4 linked regions of the Drosophila melanogaster genome follow. Changing the gene in region 3 together with the main gene of any one other region gives a genetic interaction. Each region holds a gene or a part of one and is shown on either strand. Other genes may lie near its edges.

Evidence for each region.
Region 1: of stumps (region 3) and btl, changing one enhances a phenotype caused by changing the other (phenotypic enhancement), as found in Drosophila melanogaster (one study listed by BioGRID).
Region 2: of stumps (region 3) and Ras85D, changing one suppresses a phenotype caused by changing the other (phenotypic suppression), as found in Drosophila melanogaster (3 studies listed by BioGRID).
Region 4: of stumps (region 3) and Smn, changing one enhances a phenotype caused by changing the other (phenotypic enhancement), as found in Drosophila melanogaster (one study listed by BioGRID).

The regions. Positions count from the first base shown.
Region 1 is NT_037436.4:14,073,842-14,081,777, forward strand, and holds the start of btl (breathless), read left to right. Parts: upstream 1-1,972; intron 1,973-2,034; coding exon of another isoform or gene 2,035-2,104; 5' UTR 2,105-2,207; exon of another isoform or gene 2,208-2,282; intron 2,283-3,223; exon of another isoform or gene 3,224-3,286; intron 3,287-5,613; 5' UTR 5,614-5,770; coding exon 5,771-7,936. Other genes in the region: Pex1 (peroxin 1), read left to right, coding at 1-677, 736-932, 995-1,618, 1,869-1,972, 2,035-2,104. UniProt on the Drosophila melanogaster protein: May be required for patterning of muscle precursor cells: generation of mesodermal and endodermal layers, invaginations of various types of cells, and CNS formation.
Region 2 is NT_033777.3:9,510,053-9,514,629, reverse strand, and holds Ras85D (Ras oncogene at 85D), read left to right. Parts: upstream 1-1,562; 5' UTR 1,563-1,842; intron 1,843-2,177; 5' UTR 2,178-2,338; coding exon 2,339-2,477; intron 2,478-2,633; coding exon 2,634-2,890; intron 2,891-2,948; coding exon 2,949-3,122; 3' UTR 3,123-4,069; downstream 4,070-4,577. Other genes in the region: Rlb1, read right to left, coding at 1-1,183, 1,241-1,267. UniProt on the Drosophila melanogaster protein: Ras proteins bind GDP/GTP and possess intrinsic GTPase activity. Plays a role in eye development by regulating cell growth, survival of postmitotic ommatidial cells and differentiation of photoreceptor cells.
Region 3 is NT_033777.3:14,589,879-14,594,675, forward strand, and holds the start of stumps (stumps), read left to right. Parts: upstream 1-1,741; 5' UTR 1,742-2,091; coding exon 2,092-2,131; intron 2,132-2,403; coding exon 2,404-2,642; intron 2,643-2,782; coding exon 2,783-2,964; intron 2,965-3,125; coding exon of another isoform or gene 3,126-3,128; coding exon 3,129-3,337; intron 3,338-4,797.
Region 4 is NT_037436.4:16,579,898-16,583,402, reverse strand, and holds Smn (survival motor neuron), read left to right. Parts: upstream 1-1,855; 5' UTR 1,856-1,951; intron 1,952-2,015; 5' UTR 2,016-2,220; coding exon 2,221-2,901; 3' UTR 2,902-3,005; downstream 3,006-3,505. Other genes in the region: Rpn12 (regulatory particle non-ATPase 12), read right to left, coding at 1-303. UniProt on the Drosophila melanogaster protein: Core component of the survival motor neuron (SMN) complex that plays an essential role in spliceosomal small nuclear ribonucleoprotein (snRNP) assembly in the cytoplasm, is required for pre-mRNA splicing in the nucleus and acts as a chaperone that discriminates target and non-target RNAs of Sm proteins.

The sequences.
Region 1 (7,936 bases), on a different chromosome or scaffold from region 3:
GTACGATAAGATTGTGGATCAGGTAGTTCAGGAATTGCGAATGAATCTATGCCTCAGTGCTGACAATTCCGTCATGCGTCAGTGCAATGTCCTACTCGCTGGTGCCTCGGGAACGGGTAAAACAGTTCTTGTGGAGCGCATTTTGGACCAGCTGTCACGCAAGCCGGATTATTGTCACTTCGAGTTCTTCCACGGATCGCGAAGCAAAGGCCGCAAGACGGAGTCCATCCAAAAAGATCTTCGCAACATTTTTACCAGCTGCCTGCAGCATGCCCCCGCCATTGTTGTGCTAGAAAACTTGGATGTACTGGCCCACGCTGCTGGAGAGCAGTCCAGTCAGGATGGAGAGTACTACAATCGCATGGCGGATACTGTGTATCAGTTGATTGTTCAGTATACCACCAACAACGCTATTGCAGTAATCGCCACCGTCAACGAGTTGCAGACCCTCAATAAGCGATTGAGCTCACCAAGGGGAAGACATGTCTTCCAGACTGTTGCTCGTCTGCCCAATTTGGAACGAGCAGATCGAGAGATAATTCTTCGAGAGCTGTGCAGCCATATCAATGTGGCCAAGGACCTGGATCTTGTTAAGTTCTCCAACCTCACGGAGGGCTACCGGAAATGTGATCTTGTTCAGTTCGTGGAGCGTGCAATATTTTATGCTTATCGCATAAGTGAGTAGTTTGTAGTGTTAGTAAGCAACTTTATCATGTTAAATTCCCTTTTTTCCAGGCAAGACCCAGCCTCTTCTGACCAATGATCAGCTTATTGAGTCCCTGGAGCACACAAACTCGTACTGCCTGCAGGGCATTCAGAGCAATCAAAGAACTGGCAATGATGCCGATGCCAATGAAATGCGCGTCGAGGAGTTGCCTGGCCTGGAGTCAGTTGTGGGAGTTCTGGAGGAGGTCCTTATGTGGCCATCAAGGGTGAGTTTTAAACGAAATATATGTTTTTTTCTAAAATTTAATAAATCATTAATTTCTTACAGTATCCAACCATTTTTAACGCCTCTCCACTGCGCAACCAGGCCGGAGTACTTCTATATGGGCCACCAGGAACAGGTAAAACCTATCTGGTCTCTCAGTTGGCCACATCGTGGAACCTGCGCATCATTTCCGTCAAGGGTCCTGAGTTGCTCGCCAAATATATTGGTCAAAGCGAGGAAAATGTTCGAAACCTGTTCAATCGAGCTCGCAGTGCCCGACCATGTGTGCTTTTCTTCGACGAGTTTGACAGCTTGGCGCCGAAACGTGGTCACGATTCCACGGGGGTCACCGATCGAGTGGTAAATCAGTTGCTCACAGAACTGGATGGCGTTGAAGGACTGCAGGGAGTTACCGTGATAGCAGCTACCTCCAGACCGGAACTGCTAGATCCCGCGCTTCTTCGATCCGGTCGCATTGATCGCTTGGTGGAGTGTCCTTTGCCGGATGCTCCGGCCAGAGTACGTATATTTGAAGCACTCAGTTCAACACTGAGCCTTGATGAGTGCGTGGACTTCGATTGGTTTGCGGGAAAAACTGCAAACTACACTGGCGCCGATATCCAGAGCATCCTGACCTCGGCGAACATGGCGGCGGTTAAGGAGGCGCTAGCTCAATTCGGACACGAGGTGAGCTGGGAATTATTTTCACCGGAAACAATCTGCTTTATGGGTCATGCAAGCTTTCAACCGTTTCTTTCATGTTTTATTGTTTCTCATCCTGATTTCAAATGTAACTTCTATGTAAAAACTCCTTTACGTGTTTGTCTTTTAAATCAAAAGTGAAATCTATGCTACTTCCTGCAACAATGATTAGTCACGTAGTTCTTAGTCTCTGGCCACAGTATAAAATACCATTTGTTTCTTATTGCTTTCCCAGAAACTGGCAAAGAAAATTTCCTTGAAGCAGAAGCACCTGATTGAGTCGTTCCAAACCACTCGTCCTTCGCTCAGCGCCTCCGATGTGGCCAAATATCACAGAACGTACGTAACAATGTCTTCTTTGTTCTTCTGTTCTTCTTACCTTTTTAATTATCTCTTGGTAGGTATGCTCGCTTTACCAACAAGGAGAAGACTTCTAGGGAGTTTGTAGCCAAGCGTGCGACCTTGGCTTAAAGACAAAGACTTATAAGCTTAGCATTATTATTATTTTAAATTGTTTTTTGCATATTTGTACATCTGGAAAATGGAACATTTTGTTGGAAGACGCAAGTCTTAGGTAGTACATATTTCATAATTTTTCTTGTTGAAAAATAAAAACCAAATTTCTTTTATGATTACTTCGTATAAATCCATATACCACTCCGGAGTGTTAAATTGAAAGAATATTATATTTTAATTATAATGTACATACATGTATAAAAAAGAGAAAGAGATGTTCAAATTTAAGAACTAATATCTTTTCGCATTCTGACCTCGGTAAACATGAGTGCTGTTAAGGGGTGGCTCCTTAACAAATGAAGACATCAGGTGAGTTTGGTTATTAATTCACCGGAAATTGTGTTTAGCTATAACAAGTTTTTGATAGCTAGTTTGGATAGTATGTCCCTCCTTTTCGTATTTCCCAACTGTTTCGCATTTGTTCCCATAGCCCCTAACAAGTGCATCAAAAATGCATTTAACTATTTTTGGGTAGATTACGTGCCCGGCATCTGGATCTGGATTTTGGCCTATGCGGGAGCTAGCTGCTGCCATGCCACATGCAGCAACTGAGATTTTTGGATATCAGTCACGTAACGGATATTTCCTTATTGATATGCGATTACCGCGCATGCGCACGTACTGCACACCACTAAGACAATGGACACATTTTCTTTTGCATAAATTAAGCCGCCAAGCAAACAAACAGGGAGGGAACCCGAAGGCCAGATAATAAAGAATTTCAACGAGTCGAAGCCACCGCAAACATGCTTAGAATAAAACCAACAAGAACCTAGCAGAAGCAGCAGCAGCAAACCAGCAATAAAAAGAAAGGAAACCGCTCAGGAAAACTACCAGCGAAAACAATTGCAACATGCGGGAGGGAGACCACCTCGATCAGGTAGCCGTCCGAACCCATACCATCCCATCCGAAGACCCTGTGCCCAGGATCCTAGCAAACATTATCGCAGGGAACCACAGATATCCACTCGTTTCGTATCGTATTGGATCGTATTGGATCGGTTCGGTTCGATCGGCACGTTCGGATCGTTCGTATCGTACCGCGTAAAAGTTTCTTCCGTTTCGATCGTTACTTTCAGTTGTTTGCGCACATTCAAGCCAATCGGTTGGCTCCTTCCACAAACTTTACGGATTACGGTTAGTGCAACGGAAGTGAACCCCCCCCCCCCCCCCCCGCCCAACACCAGCTACCCATCACATATTTCTTTTCATTTATGCCTGGTAAAGGGAAATAAAAGTTGGCAACGAAGCGGAAATGCAAGGCGCCTTCCGCTGCCCTCTTGCCGAGTCTTAAGATTTTTATACAAGCCCCAACCGCGATTGACAGCCGAATAAACATAGTGACAATGTTTTTTGCAATCTTATTTGCCTTCTCCGGCTCCTCGAAAATAAAAGACAAAGAACGTGATTTTTTTGGTCAAAGATTTGGGGTTGTGGCATGGCAGAAAAGAATTGTGTTCCCACTGCGAACTGACAAGCAGCAGTGAAACCAAAATAAAGCAAAAAATAATTTAAGAGTGAATTGTTCCAGCAGTAAAATAAATACAAATCTTTCCAAGTGCAGCCAAAAGATCATAAACCACAGATAAATAAAAACAAAAAGTCTGCAAAGTAACCAAATGTTAAAAATAAAATTTTAATTGAGACAAAGAAACGTGATAAAACTGATTCATACATAATTAAATAAACACCAATGAAATAAATAAGAAAATAAAATTAAAGTGATGTCAATTGTATGAATGAATAATTTATGTCTTGATCCAAACATTCCTTTTACATTAAGTCAATGTTTGCAGAAAGAAAACTGAATGGGGAGTTAATACCCAGGGTTCCAAATAAAGAACTTATTCTATTCTCGATATAGCTGATTGACCAAGTTGAAATATCAAATCGTTCATGCATTAGATTTATACGCTCGATAATAATTCACAAGATAAAAAGGTGTGAGCTAAACGGTTTTGGCCATGTGCGCTTGTGGCTTAAAATCGAATCGAATAATATTGAATGAATGACAAACTGAGAAAAAAATTAAATAAAAATAGCAATAATACATACTTCAAATACAGCGATCGACTCGTATTTGGCAACAAATGAGAAAAAAAGGAATTGAATAAATTAAAACCTGCGACGCGTGTGCATACATACATAAATCGGGCCTGAAGTCAAACGGCTAGCGGCTAGCGGCAATATCGGCTAAAACAACAACAACAATTACTGGCAGCACTAGCACCATATTAACAACAACAATGACAATCGCAACGGTTGTCCCAAGCCTTACAAACAATAAAATACTTTTCATTAAACAGCACAGTGGTCAAAACGATTTTATAAAAGTTAAAAATATTTTAATTTTCTGATAGAAAAAATAGTCGAACTATGCTATGCCCCCATTATTATCAATATTTTCTAAACTTCGTTTAAAACTTTACATTTTGTACAAAGCTTACATTCGCAGACAACAAGTTTGGGAATTTACCCTATCATCATTAATCATTGAACTAAAAATTGTTTATTTTTATTTGGCAAACATTTGACGAACCCAAGTAGATGGAATACCCACTGTCCTATACCCTTTACGTGATTATACTAAAAATTAATTTTGAAATAATTATCTGCTATTAGGATTTTCGAGCAGTGTTATTCAGTGTTTAAAGCATAACTTTATTATAAATATACCTTTTAATTGATTAAAATGCTGAGCTCATATTGCACAGAGAATTTGAATGTTAATTAGTTGCTATTTCAGATTGTGGCAAATCATTTAGGTATTTCTCGATTTGTTGTTGCAATTCTCTAGCACCTTGTCTGTTTGTTTTGTAAGTGCAAGTATAGTACTTGGGGAATAACTGAAAAGTGTGACACCACTGTAACAACTGATTTCAACAAATAGCTAAGTGATTTTCTAACTGTTCGGCATTTAGTTGAATGGAAATCGAGGAGCGCAGGCCGCAGCAACAAAAGCATTTGGCGAACGTCGAATATAGACAAGTTATAATGGAGATCCCCTTCGGTAGTGGGTGGCGACGAGTGTGTCCGGCAATTCGGTGGCTTCGACCACGTCTTCCAGCTCATTACGAAGGCAGGGCACACAGTTTTCGTTTGTTTCAGTTGCTTCTCCTTTGGATTTTTGCATATCGGTGCGGACAGACTTGACTTGGCTGTGTGCCGTGTTGGCAATAAAATATTAAACAATAATAATAAATAAATAAAATGACACAGATCGGGAACTAAGGGAGGGGCAAAAAGTGAAGCGGAGATTTGGCAATATTTATTGATCCACTTATACAGCTGCGGTCAAAAGAATAGTGGCACAATAGTGGTATTCAAGTAACGAATAGCTAATAATATTTGCATTCATAACTTCTTAAATTTAGTTAAATTAAACAAAATTCCAAAGTGTTATTTTTAAAGTATAATATATCAATCAATGCCATGTAATTCATATATTTAATCCTTTCCTTTAGCTGGAGAACGCTCGATTTGAAATCGAGGAACTCGAATGAAGATACCCACAGGAAGTGATATTATTTCGACCGCAACTGTAACCCATATGTACACGATCGTGCCCATCCAGATACGAGATCTTGGTGGCTGTTGAACTCAAGAGAATCCACTTGAATCATGGCAAAAGTGCCGATCACGCTGGTGATGATCATTGCGATCGTCTCTGCCGCTGCGGACCTGGGATGCGATTATGGCCATCATCGTTGCTACATCGATGTGACTGTGGAAAACAGTCCCCGCCAGCGCCATCTGCTCTCCGACATGGACATCACGCTGCAGTGCGTCCGACCCATGGCCAAATGGTTCTATGAGGATAAGTTTCAACTGAGGGCTACCCTTTTGCGACTTGAACGAGCACAGTCCGGAAATTCTGGAAACTACGGCTGCCTGGATAGTCAGAACAGATGGTACAATATTTCCCTTGTTGTTGGCCATAAGGAACCAGTTGGCAATGATATCGCCAGCTTTGTCAAGTTGGAAGATGCACCGGCCCTCCCGGAGTCAGATCTCTTTTTTCAGCCCCTGAATGAGAGTCGATCCCTGAAGTTGCTGCAACCCCTACCCAAAACCGTACAACGGACCGCAGGTGGCCTTTTTCAGTTGAACTGCAGTCCCATGGATCCGGATGCAAAGGGTGTTAATATATCCTGGCTGCACAATGATACTCAAATCCTTGGTGGACGTGGACGCATTAAGCTTAAAAGGTGGTCATTAACAGTGGGGCAACTGCAGCCGGAGGATGCTGGAAGCTATCACTGTGAGCTGTGCGTGGAACAGGACTGCCAAAGGAGTAATCCGACCCAATTGGAGGTGATAAGCAGAAAGCACACGGTGCCCATGCTAAAGCCCGGATATCCCCGCAATACCAGCATTGCCCTCGGGGACAATGTGAGCATTGAATGCCTACTTGAGGACTCTGCCCTGGAGCCGAAGATCACGTGGCTACATAAGGGGAATGCGGACAACATCGATGACCTCTTGCAGCGTTTAAGAGAGCAGTCCCAGCTACCTGTGGATGTTACCCGATTGATTACCCGAATGGATGAACCGCAGGTACTTCGTCTTGGAAATGTCCTGATGGAGGATGGCGGATGGTACATATGCATAGCCGAGAACCAGGTTGGACGCACTGTGGCCGCCTCCTATGTGGATCTTTACAGTCCCTCAGATACTACCACAGTTCGCACGACCACTACTACCACCGTGGCCAGCCCAATACCCACTGCATCCACCGGAGAGGACAACGATGACGACGTGGAAAATCCAGCAGCGGAAGCATCAGGCGGCGTTGGTCCACCTGTGTTCAGAAAAGAGCTGAAACGATTACAGCACTCATTATCGGGAAATACTGTCAATCTAGCCTGTCCAGTGTACGGCAAAGCGAACATCACCTGGACGAAGGACAAGAAGCCGCTAAACCGTGAACTCGGCGTCTATGTGCAAAAGAACTGGACACTCCGCTTCGTGGAGGCCACCAGCGAGGATTCTGGACTATACAACTGTAAGGTGTGCAATGCGTGGGGCTGCATCCAGTTTGACTTCAGTGTCCAAATAAACGATCGCACGAGATCCGCACCAATAATCGTGGTGCCGCAAAATCAGACGGTGAAAGTCAATGGCAGCTTGGTGATGAAGTGCACCGTCTACTCTGATCTGCATCCAACAGTCAGCTGGAAAAGGGTTGTCCTCAAGAATGCCTCCTTGGACGGCCTTAAGTCTGTGGAAATCCAGAATCTCAACTTCACCGTGACGAATGACTCCGTAGTTTTAACGCTTCGTAATGTGACCTTTGACCAGGAGGGCTGGTACACCTGTTTGGCCTCAAGTGGTCTGGGAAGGAGTAACTCCAGTGTGTACCTTAGGGTAGTGAGTCCTCTGCCACCTTTGGAGATCTACGCCCTGCTGCACGCCCATCCTCTCGGATTCACCTTGGCCGCTATTACGATAGTGGCTTTGTTCCTTTTGGGCAGTGCTTTCATAACGTTCATGCTGCGTCGGCTGAGGAGGGAGAAGCTCCTGAAGCTCCGCATCGAAACGGTTCATCAGTGGACTAAAAAGGTGATCATATACCGACCGGGTGGAGAAGAAGGAAGTGGCTGCAGCTCCGGCGATCTTCAGATGCCAGTGATAAGGATCGAGAAGCAGAGAACAACCGTTTCCACAACGGGAACTGGCGGTACTGATCCCGCCCAGGGCTTTAATGAGTATGAGTTCCCGCTGGACTCAAACTGGGAGATTCCCAGGCAGCAGCTTAGCTTGGGCTCCATTTTGGGTGAGGGCGCC
Region 2 (4,577 bases), 5.1 Mb from region 3:
TCTTGCCTCTAAAATCACCAATGATTGGTTTCTGCTGTTGCTTAGCCAGCCAGGAGGGATGACGATCATCAGTTGGCTTTCTCGCTTTGAACTCTGGCTGTCTTTCCGGTTTCTCCCGATATGTGTTCGACCGTCGATCCTCATTGCGGAACCTTTTGACTGGCGGCGGTGCCTGTTCCTCATCAGCTTCGCTGTCATTGTCCCCGGAAAGAACCACGGCGCTGGACAAGTAGGGCTGGCCTGATTCCGTAATGAAGAAGGGATCAACGACATGTGTGGGACGATTATTGTCAAGTTGTGGTTCTTCTTCATCGATACTTGGCTGCCTTTCTAATCGTGGCTTAGGCTTCTGCTCTCTGGCTGGTTTTTTCTCGAAGGGTTTTGGCTTAGATTCTTTCGGTCTGCCTTCTAGTTGTGGCTCTGCATTATTCTCCTTGATTGTATTTAAATTCTGCTTTTTGGAACTGAGCTTAGTTATCTCCGGGTTGATCTGCTCATCAAAAGCTTGTTTTTTCTGAAGGTTTCTTTCTTTTTTGGCTGGTGTTTTAGGTGTCTTTTCCTTTTTGACTTTGAGAACTGGAGAATTTTCAGTTTTTGCAAAAGACTGTGGTATTTCCTGATCATTTACTTTGCTGACTTGAAGAGTGGGCGTTTCCGCAGTTGCTCCATTAACATCTGCATCCACCACTTTGTTCTGCTCTAACCACTCCAGTCGGTTTTTGGTTTGGGCCTTCTGCTCCTTCAGCTCCTTGCGCTTCCTCTTCCGCTCCTCAGTGCGTTCTATTTTGGCCCTTCGCTTGCTCGTCTCTAGGATCTCCTCACGCCACTTGGCCTCCTTATCGGTGGTGCTCAGCTTCAAGGTTTCCACAAACTTGTCCACCAGTCCGTGCATCAATTTGTTTAGCCGCAGCATGGCAATGCCCAGTTCATCCGGCGTGGAGCGCTCGTTAGCAATCACCGCATTGGGATTTGTGCCCTCCTGCAGGAGCGACTGGCGTACCATATCCATATATTTTAGAGCCTTCAACTGGGCCAGGCATTCTGTGTTCTTGCGTAAACGAATCTTTTCCTTTTCACTGTCTGGATTTTTGGCCAGAGCCTCTTTTGTCTTTCGCAGCTTTTGTACGATTTTGGCGATGGTCTGGGCGCGTGCCTTTTGAATGACCTTCTTGTTGGATATCACCTGTAAAAGTTCTTTTTAATTAAAACTCTATAATTTTAAATAAAATCGTTTATTTACCAAATTATTGAATTTCAATCTGTCCATGCTGTTTTCGTTACAGTGGTGGTTGAAATAATAGACTCAGGCTTGAGTCCGTGCTAAGAAACGGTGATGCCAGCCCGTTGAACTTAAATTAACAATTATTAAAAGCAGAAAGCGTCTGCCAGTTTTTACAGAAAGCTGTATTGATCAAATCATTTATTAGTTTAAGCAAATTATAGAGAGTCGACTGAAGTGCATCCACCTCTTTAGATTAGTTTTCATATAGCAATCGCTATTGCAAGTCCATCGATGGTGCCGGCCAGAATGCAGCCATCGCTATCGATAGTGCCATCGGCTTGGTGCCAGCTCTAGTATCTTCACAGCTACGTACAGCCTAGATTTCATCTTCATTTCACATACGGATTTATTGTTTTCCTGCGCTGTTAATTGCAATTACCGCACGGCAATTAAATTGGTGCCATCGAGGAGTACCGCCTGTCGCACCGTTAGCCGCGAAAGTGACGTGAAACGTGCCCAGCAACTGCGCCGCGCGCGAGAAGAGAGAGGCAGAGTATTGATAGAGAGGAGCGGAGCGGAAAAACAAGGAGGAGCTAGCTGAAGAGGCAGCAACAAAGAAGGTCCGCAGCCCCGGCAGGCAAAAGAAAAATAATAAAGAAAAGGGCTAAAAACAACGCCGCCGAATTAGCAAATTCACCTAGTTAACAACTCGGCTATGGGGGAGACTAACTAATTTGCATTGAGCGAATGGGTTTTAATTTTAGTTTGAGTCATTGATCTCTTTTTCCCATTTTTTTTTGTGTTGCCCGTCTGGCTGTGTGCATGCAGTGGTGCGTGTGTGTTTGTGCGAGTAAGCGCCTAGTCACAGTGACTCAGTGACGTGCATTAATTCCTGCCTAATTATGCGTTTAATTTATTTTAATCAATCTTAATTAATAATTTACTCCACTTGCAGCCCATACACGCACAGTCACCCACACAAACACACGCAACAAGCGTACGGAGAGAGAGACTGCATCTGCGGGCGCTTCACAAGAGAGTAAGCATCGATCGCGAGAAAGAGACTGTTACTGTGACATTTGACTACGGCAAATCGAAAACGGACGCCACAGCCAAATGACGGAATACAAACTGGTCGTCGTTGGAGCCGGAGGCGTGGGCAAGTCCGCGCTCACCATCCAGCTAATCCAGAACCATTTCGTGGACGAGTACGACCCCACAATCGAGGACTCTTACCGAAAGCAAGTGGTTATCGGTGAGTTATATGTACTTAGATCTGGCAAAGCTAGGGCTGCACAGGTCCAAATACTCTAGAGATTTCTGCACCCTTTCGCTGGTTTGGTTTCCCGTTTATACTAGAAGAGACCTTAAGAAGTTGCGATATTCAAATGCATTTTATATTCCCCTGCAGATGGAGAGACCTGCCTGCTGGACATCCTGGACACCGCCGGCCAAGAGGAGTACTCGGCCATGCGGGATCAGTATATGCGGACTGGCGAGGGATTCCTGCTGGTCTTTGCCGTCAACAGTGCGAAGTCCTTCGAGGATATCGGCACCTACCGTGAGCAGATCAAGCGCGTAAAGGATGCCGAAGAGGTGCCCATGGTGCTGGTGGGCAACAAATGTGATCTGGCCTCGTGGAACGTTAACAACGAGCAGGCAAGAGAGGTGAGTACCGGCCTTCAGAGTTCCGAGCGAACATTCCGTTAATTATGGTTGTTCTCAGGTGGCCAAACAGTACGGCATTCCATACATTGAGACATCCGCCAAGACGCGCATGGGCGTGGACGATGCATTTTACACACTGGTGCGCGAAATCCGCAAGGACAAGGACAACAAGGGGCGGAGGGGCCGCAAAATGAACAAGCCGAATCGTAGATTTAAATGTAAAATGCTCTAAACGGCCACGCATTGGTTATTATTCACTTTTTATTTCTTCAAATGTCGCCTGTTTGTCTGTATGTGCGTCGGCGAATCGCCGATCGTCCTGGGCTCGATGGTTTGTCCATTTTGGACACACAATGCGAAAAACACACACATGTGGGAGCGTGTTGGTCGGTGCAATTGTCAGATAAAAGAAGAGAAATTGTAATTAATTTAAGTAACTAGAGTTTTATGTACGTCGAAATGATTTTGTGAATGTGTGTGTTTTGTGTCGTTTGAAAGGCTGCGAGGCGCCCTTTTAAGAGTATTAACAATAACAAGCAAACAAAAACGAACGAAGCAAATCGAAAATGAAAATGAATATGTACCTCTACATAAAAACTATGAATACTGTTGTAACTGCCTTGGTTCAGCTGCTATATCCGTTTGTTTTCAACCAGCACTTAACTTGATTCTATGTTGTTTGTACTTCAACAGATACTCCGTGCTTAAAACCGAAACGCGATGTAAACAAATATTGTGTATTTTTACAGCCCTGTTATCTATTGGTTTCAACCCGACAGTCATACATAAATGTAATCTTTTTTCGCACACACGCACGAGCAGAATTCCATTAGTATTCATCATTAGAGAACAAACAAGCAAAAGCCGATAAGCTCACAGCAACTTTCGCACAAACGAGTAAATTCGCTAGCCCCAAACTAGATTTATGTTCGGTTAAACACATATCTGTGGTGCTACGATGATGAAATTATAATCCGTATGAGTTCTTGAGATTTGCCTTTCTTTCTACTTACCATACTGACAGATCAATCGGAGAGAAAACAAACAGCCAATTAAATTTACATTATATAGTTTGCTTTAAGCTTTTTATACATACATACATACATTTAATATTTAATTTTTTGTATTAATTTTTGCCATACAAAAAGAAACGAAATAAATCGATTGTGTGTACTATTTATGAAAAGTGGTTTTAGTTATTCCATAGTTTTGCTTTTGTGGATTCTATTTTTCCATCTAAAGTCTCCTGTCTTGTTGAGCCAAATATTCTATTATTTGAATTTTTGCGTTGCGCGCGTAAATTGCAGTATGCCTACATTTCGATAATTCGAAGAGCATTTTCGAATATCGGCGATGTCTAGTCGATAGAAATCTGAGACACGTCCAAATATCAAACCATCGATGAATGTGCTGTCATCGTATCACTGTCAACTCTAACATAGACTTTTGTACGGTTTTCTATTGATCTCGGAAACTGTAGTTTGTCACAAGCGTTTGTTCATTGTATAAAATTTACTACGCCGAAAGCAGCAAAATAGAAATATTACCAGTATTAAGAGCACAGCCAACATCAAAAGGTAAGCCATAACGCTAGCATAGAAAAGAACATTTGGCGAAAAAGTCGATTGACGCGGTCGCCATTTTGTTTTCGCGGACGCCGCTCCGGGTGTGTACTACTACGAATATT
Region 3 (4,797 bases):
GCCGGGCATCTGTGTGGTAGGGGTTATTTGGTTGTTGGCCCAGTATCGATGGCAGGCCCGATTTTAGACCCAGTCCACTTAGGAATTCCACGGACAGACCACATGGACTCTCTAGCATTTTGCCACTTCAGTTGTTGCTTCAGTTTCAGTTTTTTTTTTCCTAGTTGCACTGGGGAAAAATGTGAAAATGTGTTCCCTTAGCACAATTGTTGCTCTCCCCTGGCTGCAATTTTTAATGTGCCTTTTCCGATGCGCGTTCTTTTTTTTCTGCCTTTGATGCTCTCGAGTTTCCCCTAATGTGGCTGGAATATGTCGCCTGGCCATAGCTTCTATTATGGCCTTCTATTTTCGGCCCAACATTGATGACAATTTTCATATTTGCCATAAAGTCGAAAGGCAAATATTGCGTATCTTCAGGACAATTGAAGAAATGCTCCAAATATGAGTTTACTTTATGCTAATATATTAATATACAGCGTAAGTAATCATCATATTTTTGATGAATTTCTGGCATCTGTATCATCAAACATCCTAAAACTCTTTGTATAATTTTTTTTTTTTGTATTTTTTCCCATGATATTTTGGAAGATTAATTCTCCCACCGCTCTGCGAAGGTGAGTTCTCATGGTCCCTCCCGAAAAACGTCTCATAAATGTTTCCTGACAGTGAACATCATCGAATTGAAGACCAACCCAACCACAGACAACACTCGGCGCACAAACTCAAACTTTGACACTGATAGAACATGGGGAATACTAAACCGGGGGGCTCACCTCAGATGCTACAATATATATGATGATGGTATATGCTATGTGCGCCACATCAAGTTGGCTTATATGCTAGATGGGTCTTCTATTTCTGCTATCGGAACTCATCAAATATGCACGACGAGACCAAGACAAAACGTACGCTCACGGATGGAAAATGGGAAAGGGACAGGAGACAGGGACAGTGGACAGGGGACAGAGGACAGGGAATCATGGATATCATGGAAATCATGGACTCGGAGCGCGCTGGCGATGATAATTTGATCATGCGAAAAGCGCACGCAAAAGAAAAACATGCGCAGGTACAACAACAAAGTCGTTGTAGTCGAGGAAAAGTGAGTTTTCCTGATCGCCGATCGGTTTCTAGGGGTGGGGGAGTACCGAGTGGGTGATGGCAATATGGCAACCATATTTAAACACTGATCCCGTATGCGTGTGTGCGTGCGCGGGCGGGAGCGAGATGGGGTGAGAGTGCGAGGGAGAGATGCAATGTTTTTATGCTGCTGCCGATGTCGCTGCACTGTGAGAAAATAAGAGATGAGAATTGATTGATCTCTCAAAATGATGTACAAATTTATTAGTGAAGACACAGAAACAGACATAAAGAAATCAAATTTACCGATTAAATATTATTATTTTATTTAATTAATGTATCCAGTTCAAAATCTTGTGGTACTTATTTCAAGTAATTTTTTGTATCTGAATTTATTAAGAAAATTATGCCTAACAGTTTCGCTTAGAGAATTCGAAAGAAAATATTAATATGAGAAGGTGGGATTTTTCGGTATATTTATTTTTATCAGTGCACGCTGAGAATGGGAATGGATGAAGAAGTGCGCGTATGGTAAATAAAAACCAAAACACGAGGAGGGATTCTCTGCGTCGGCAGAGACGTCGACAGAGACATCGGCGGTGGCAGAGGAAAATGCAGACGGCGCGGAGTGTTTTGTTCTCGTTGAAGTTTTAGAATTTATTCCGTTTCGGGATGTCAATGCAGACGCACGCACTGCGCGAACTCAAGTGAACTGAAGTGAAATATTAAGTCGAACCATCACGAACTTGCATTGCCGCCTAAATTTGAATTTTGAATTTATTTGCCCCGTTTTTTCAAACTGACAATTTGTTAAGTTGCCATTTGTGGCACTCCCCGTTGTGATTTCCGTTTACGGTTTCTCGAATTCGCGCCCTGTGCGCAACTTTTGGCGCGTGCGCATGCGCAGCCAGTGAAAGTGCAAATGCATCGCAAATCAGAGCTCTGAATTGTGGTAGACTCTGCGAATCGCATATCAACTAAGGAAAAATTCACTGCATAAAGGATCTCAAGATGTTTGTCACTGTGGATAACACAAACACCTTCTTCTCAGGTAAAAAGAGTGAAAGAGTTTCTTAAAGACTTTATAAGTTTCTTTATGCGAAAAGAATTGTAACAAATATCAAAGTTTTAAGTTAGAAAGTATGAGCAAAAGCGAAAGATTATACAAAGATACAGAGATTCATACAGATTAAAAACGTACATATATGATATTAAATAAATGTTATTTATTATACTTTATAAGCACATCCTCAAACTTTGATAAGTTCAAATCAGAAAACTAACTCCATTCCTCATTCATTCTATTGCAATTGAACTCCCCAGACAACCCGTATTACTTTTGCAATGAAACCAAGTCGCCGCGCACCCCGGACTCGCAGTCCTCCAGCCGGGGATTCTCGATCTTCAAGCGGCGCAACTCGAAGGGCAGCAGCCCCCGGCCGCTGGTGATGACCAATCCGGAACAGATGCGACTGATCACATCCGCCAATCTGGATACCACGGCTACCATGGCATTAGGAAGTCCGCGGGGCAGCTTCAATTCCCTCGCCGGCTATCCGCAAGTGAGTAGCGATTTAATAGAGCATATTCCGATCTCCGATTTCGGAATACTGATTCTGATTTATCTGCTGGATCTGCCACTTCCTGTGGAGTCGAGTGAGCCCTTCTAATGTGCCGTCCTCTTCCGTTTTGCGCATTTCAGCACGCGATTGAACTGCAGACGATGAACATGTACCGCCAGCGATCTGCAAATTCGCACTCAGAGTTCCGGGAACGCCTGAATTCTTGCAACGAGACCCACAGCTCCCAGTGTCCCGGAGGAGGAGGTGCATCCGTAGCTGGGGATCACGACGAGGTCTTCAATCCGCTGACATCGCCAACAAGGTGAGCAATCCCCAGAATCGAGCATTTAATGGGGAGGGTGAGGTGATGACAGGATGCGATTGCAGCTGTTGACAGTTTCGAACCGCCCCCTTTTCCGCCCATGCTAATCGTGCGCCCTTTCTTTTCTCCCCCCACCCCCCATCTTTGCGACCAATCCTCAGTAGCAAATCGCATCGACATCACACCCTGCCAAGTGGCGGAACTCGTCGCCATTCCCTGGGAAACTGGGCCCAACATCAGCATCAACAGCAACATCAACAGAACTCTGGAGCAATGGGACTGGGATCTCCGGATGAGGTGCCCAGCATGATGGCGCCTCGACCGCCGCTCCTCTCGCCAAACAAATTCCGCGGCAGTTCCCATCGACGAAGAGGTGAGTTGACGTTCCACGACACTTGCATTTCCCATCTGCTCAGTATGCCACGGGGCAATCGCGAATTCCTATGCTAATCTGGGCTCAATAAGTAGAAGTAATCCATGTAAATGGAAATCGTTTAGCAAAGTTTTCAGATAATAGAAAAGTCGATAGTTGACAGCAAACGTATATGGATTATAGGATATGGCTGTTATGTCCCTAAAGGAATAAATTTTGGCTCACAAATTTTTAATTTTCTTTGAGAGCTATTTTTTAAATATCTGCTTATTGCTGTGTTATTTAATTTACTCGAGTCTAATATACTTTTAGTTATTTTAATATGCCCCACAAGTTCAGCCGACGCAGTGACAAAGACAAAGTGGTTGCAAATTGCATTCCCTGCCCTCGTTTCGCGTTCGCATTTTTGCACTTTGGCGGCTGTCAGGCGTTCACTCCCCTTTGCCTGCTACTCCATTTTCATGCCCCAAAAGTCCTCCCTTCTGGGGTTTTCCCCCCTGTTGACTCCTCCAGTGGCTGCCCAACAACCTTTACCTCGCAGCTTTGCATCACGTTTGCATATTAAGCGCAACTGCCAGCTCTTCGGAATTTGTTTTTTCATTTTTCGCCTGGCAGGCGCCATGGAATTGGGTCCACTACCCAGCCCCTTTCAGTTCGCCCTCACATTTAAACCACGTTAACAACATTGCAATGTTTACGCAAGTGATAATTGTAATAGTATTTTGTCGCCAGAGCGTCGCCAATCTTTGTTTTGGCATTGTTTTTCCCCGGCAGTGGAGTGGAGCTTCTGTTTGCCTTCGATTTTGTGGCGTAATGAGGGGATCGCATATAGCCGATCGAGCGTATATATAGCTGATTGTTGGCAACGCGCCTTCCTGGCTGACTGACATTTCGCGACTGGCCTGACATTGACAGTCCTCCGTGTGATGGATGCCCCTAAAGTGGGCAGTTGCATGCAAGATGGAAAGGCCTCCTGGTTTACTCGTATGTCCAGCAAAAGTCACAGGTTTATGGTTTATGAGTCGCTCAGGACTCCTTTGCACGATCATTGTGTATTCATCATAAGCGTTTTCAAGGTTTCGCTTTCATGACATCTGATGATTTAAGTTGATTTAAGGCACTTCGTGTGACGTTTAAATCCAGCGCGATTTTCGAGTCTCAAAAGAGATGAGAAATAAGTAGTAGATGAGATACTGAGGAGTGTTTCATACATAGAAATTCAGAGCATGTAGATCTGCTTTAGAAGTGCCGCAATTTATTAGAAGTGTGCCATTAAAGTTTTTACTATTATAAAAACAATAGATTCTTTCCCTTATTGTTATTGTTATCAATTATAATAACGGTTGCCCACAGCGCCTTATTCTAAAAATGATCACCCACCATATTCGACACACTTATCGCTATGGTCACTTGCAATCCATTCGAATCTTTCGCCATATGCAGGAAACTAGGCAATTCGC
Region 4 (3,505 bases), on a different chromosome or scaffold from region 3:
CTCCGATTCGCCAATGATCTTAGCGTAGTCATAGTAATAGCACTTCAGCTGCGCCATGTAGCGCTCGAAGGCGAGCAGGTCCTTGCTGAGCACGCTATGCTCCACGGCCACCTCAAGCACGCTCCTAGCCAGGATCAATTGCTTCTTGGAGCTCTGGGCATCGTTTCCGTCCGTCGGCAGGAAGGCCATCTTCACGAGCGCTACTTTCAGTTGATCCAGCAGCTGGCCGCATTTGACGGTGTTTGGTGGCCGCTTTGACCACTCGGCGGTCAGTTCTTTGTACAGCGATTCCACGTTGGCCATTCTTTAGATTGGTATATTGAAGCTTAAATGTTTTCTGCAAATTCCCAAGATGATTTTCGCTTTTTTTTAGAGATGGCAATTGTTGTAGGGTAAAGCGATAGGACAATCGTTATCGGAACAGTTATCGATTGTCAAGTTACCACAGGGCTGGGAATATTATTTAAGTGTAAGTTTAAGTTGAAAAATACATTTTTTAGACGAACTCTATATAGTTTAACAGTTTACAACTGAAAGCTTTATGATTTGATCCAAGGGGTATTGTATTTCCTTTGTGCTTTAATATCGATATATTTTAACAAACTATCTAATGGAGTTTAAATCTAAATTTTCGCATTTAAGCTCGGACTGTTTATTCAATTAGTGATTGTCTCAGTATAGTTAAAAATTTCGGGTATTGAAATCACGTCTATTTGACCTTGGGCATAAGTTTTGTGTCAAGAATAACTTAAATTATTAAGCGATTCAGAACTCTCATTCTTTGTGGGTCTTTAGATGGTACCGCAGTTGCGTGTTCGTGAAATAGCTTTTGGAGCACTTGGTGCATGGGAACGGTCGCTCTCCTGTGTGGCTCATCATGTGAATTCGAAGATGCGCATTCTGGGTAAAACGCCTTAGGACATTGGGAGCACTTGAAGGGGCGTTCGCCTGTGTTGATTATTAGATGCCTTTTAAGATTGGAAGCCAGCGTAAAATTCGATGTACAATGGGGGCACCGTTTTTCAGTGTGTATTGCAATATGTCCCGAAAGATGCGATACGCTCTTCAAAGCCTTTGCTGCTAAGCAGCAAGTGCTGCTTAAGTGCTGAGTTTATCCAAAACCTCGTTGGGCAATGAGGACATTGAAGCAGCTTATCATTATCACGTCCTTTATTTTGCAATCTATGGTTTTCACAACTATCATAGTCTTCGTCTATTACCTCAATATTGACTTGGCTATTGGATTGATCGCTGTCACAGTCCACGAACTGATCATCGTCTTTAAAGAGGCTCGTTCTACACTAGACAACATTCCCATTGGATCATGCCACTGCCTCGCCAATCTTCAACTACACTTTCGAGTTCGACAAAATGCTGAAAAGCACCTCCATCGATACTCGATTCCCCATCCTCGGAATAAGATACCTTGCGGAATCGGGATTCCTCCATTAACTAAACGTAAAATTATTAGCTCCTCTGGTGGGTTTTTCTAAACTCGAACGCATTTTGTGCATCTTGGCAGCAGGAGGTGCAAAATGTTTCGGGTAGATGATCGCCTTTTTCCACTTTGAGGCCAGTGCACTCGGAAATGATTGACGCTATTGAAGCTTCAGTGCCGTGCTTAACTTCAAAAATATTGAACTCGTTTTCACATTGCCCGAGGCAAATTCGGCACACCAACCCCAACTCCATACCTCCGAAATTGAGTTAAAAAATTTAGCGATCTCGCTTTCAGGTCGGATCGATCAATTTATTGTTTGTTTATTGTGTTAAAGATGCATGCTGATAAGTATCGATACTATCGTGCGGTTAATGGGGACGATAGGTACAACACCACTCACAATAAAGTATTTTTAGTGGAAAGTATAAAAAGAAGACTTCAATTAAAACAATAAATACAATACAATTACATTGGAAGTATTCTGATTGCATTGTGAATGTTGGCCACAAAGTATGAAAACTTTTTTCAGCTTTACTGAATTTAAATATTTCTTAACCATTTCGTTCGCTTTCAGAATAATATAATACCCAGAATGACTTCATAAATTTTATCACATCTTAGTTTGAATGTACACCTTTTAGCGATAGTTTCATGTTTCGGCCTGTGCTGCTAAGCGGTGATTCGCCTGCGCTTTCCAACACACAGCAAATTCGCATAAAAGCGAAACTTGGTTCTTCCTTTAAAAACGTGATACTTGCCTGATAGGATAGAAAGCCGAGATGTCCGACGAGACGAACGCCGCGGTGTGGGATGACTCCTTGCTGGTGAAGACGTACGACGAGTCGGTGGGACTGGCCCGCGAAGCTTTGGCCCGCCGCCTCGCCGATTCCACCAACAAGCGCGAGGAGGAGAACGCTGCCGCAGCTGAAGAAGAAGCTGGCGAGATCTCGGCCACTGGTGGGGCTACCAGCCCGGAACCAGTATCCTTCAAAGTAGGCGACTACGCCAGGGCCACCTACGTGGATGGTGTGGACTACGAGGGCGCTGTGGTGTCTATTAACGAGGAGAAGGGCACCTGCGTACTCCGCTATTTGGGCTATGAGAACGAGCAGGAGGTGTTGCTCGTGGACCTCCTGCCGTCCTGGGGCAAGCGTGTGCGTCGCGAGCAGTTCCTTATCGCCAAGAAGGATGAGGACGAGCAGTTGAGCCGCCCTAAGGCATCCGCTGGTAGTCATTCAAAGACTCCCAAGTCATCCAGAAGGAGTAGGATCTCTGGCGGACTGGTTATGCCGCCCATGCCACCAGTACCGCCCATGATTGTCGGACAAGGGGACGGCGCCGAACAGGACTTCGTGGCCATGCTCACCGCCTGGTACATGTCCGGCTATTATACGGGCCTCTACCAGGGAAAGAAAGAAGCCAGCACCACTAGCGGAAAGAAAAAGACACCCAAGAAGTAATTCCATCTTATCTCATCATCACATCACATCTTTTCGAAAGACTTGTAGATATTAAGAAAACAGAACGATTAAATTTATTATATTAAAGAGTCAGTATCGTCATGGTGGGATCTCGTTTCAATTGCTACATAAATGGAAAAAAAAAATGCCGAGGCAGGCAGAAATTTAGGTTGACATTCAATATGGCCACTTGAGAAAATCAGTGCTTCGATACATTTCGTAGCGAGCGGTTGAGTTTGTAGTATAACGGAATTTTCATAACCTTCGATAGATCGTAGAATGGCGATATTTTAGCTGGCAGTATACAAATCAGAAAAGAAAAAAAACGGATATTTTGATTGGTAAGCAGACTTTCTTACACTGCAATAGATTTCTTTAACTTTGGGTATCGTGTAGCTGTTTTAAAATCAGAAGCTGAAAAATTTTATTGATAAAAAATAAGATATAATGATAAAGAGAGTACATGGTAGTATTGCCTAATTAACAAACTAGCTAAAAATGCGCTTGGACCTTTTAACCGTCCATATTCAACACTGCCAAATGCATCCTTTATTTTCACAGGCTTACGATTTGAAATATAAGTGGTAAATCCTTCTCTTTTGCA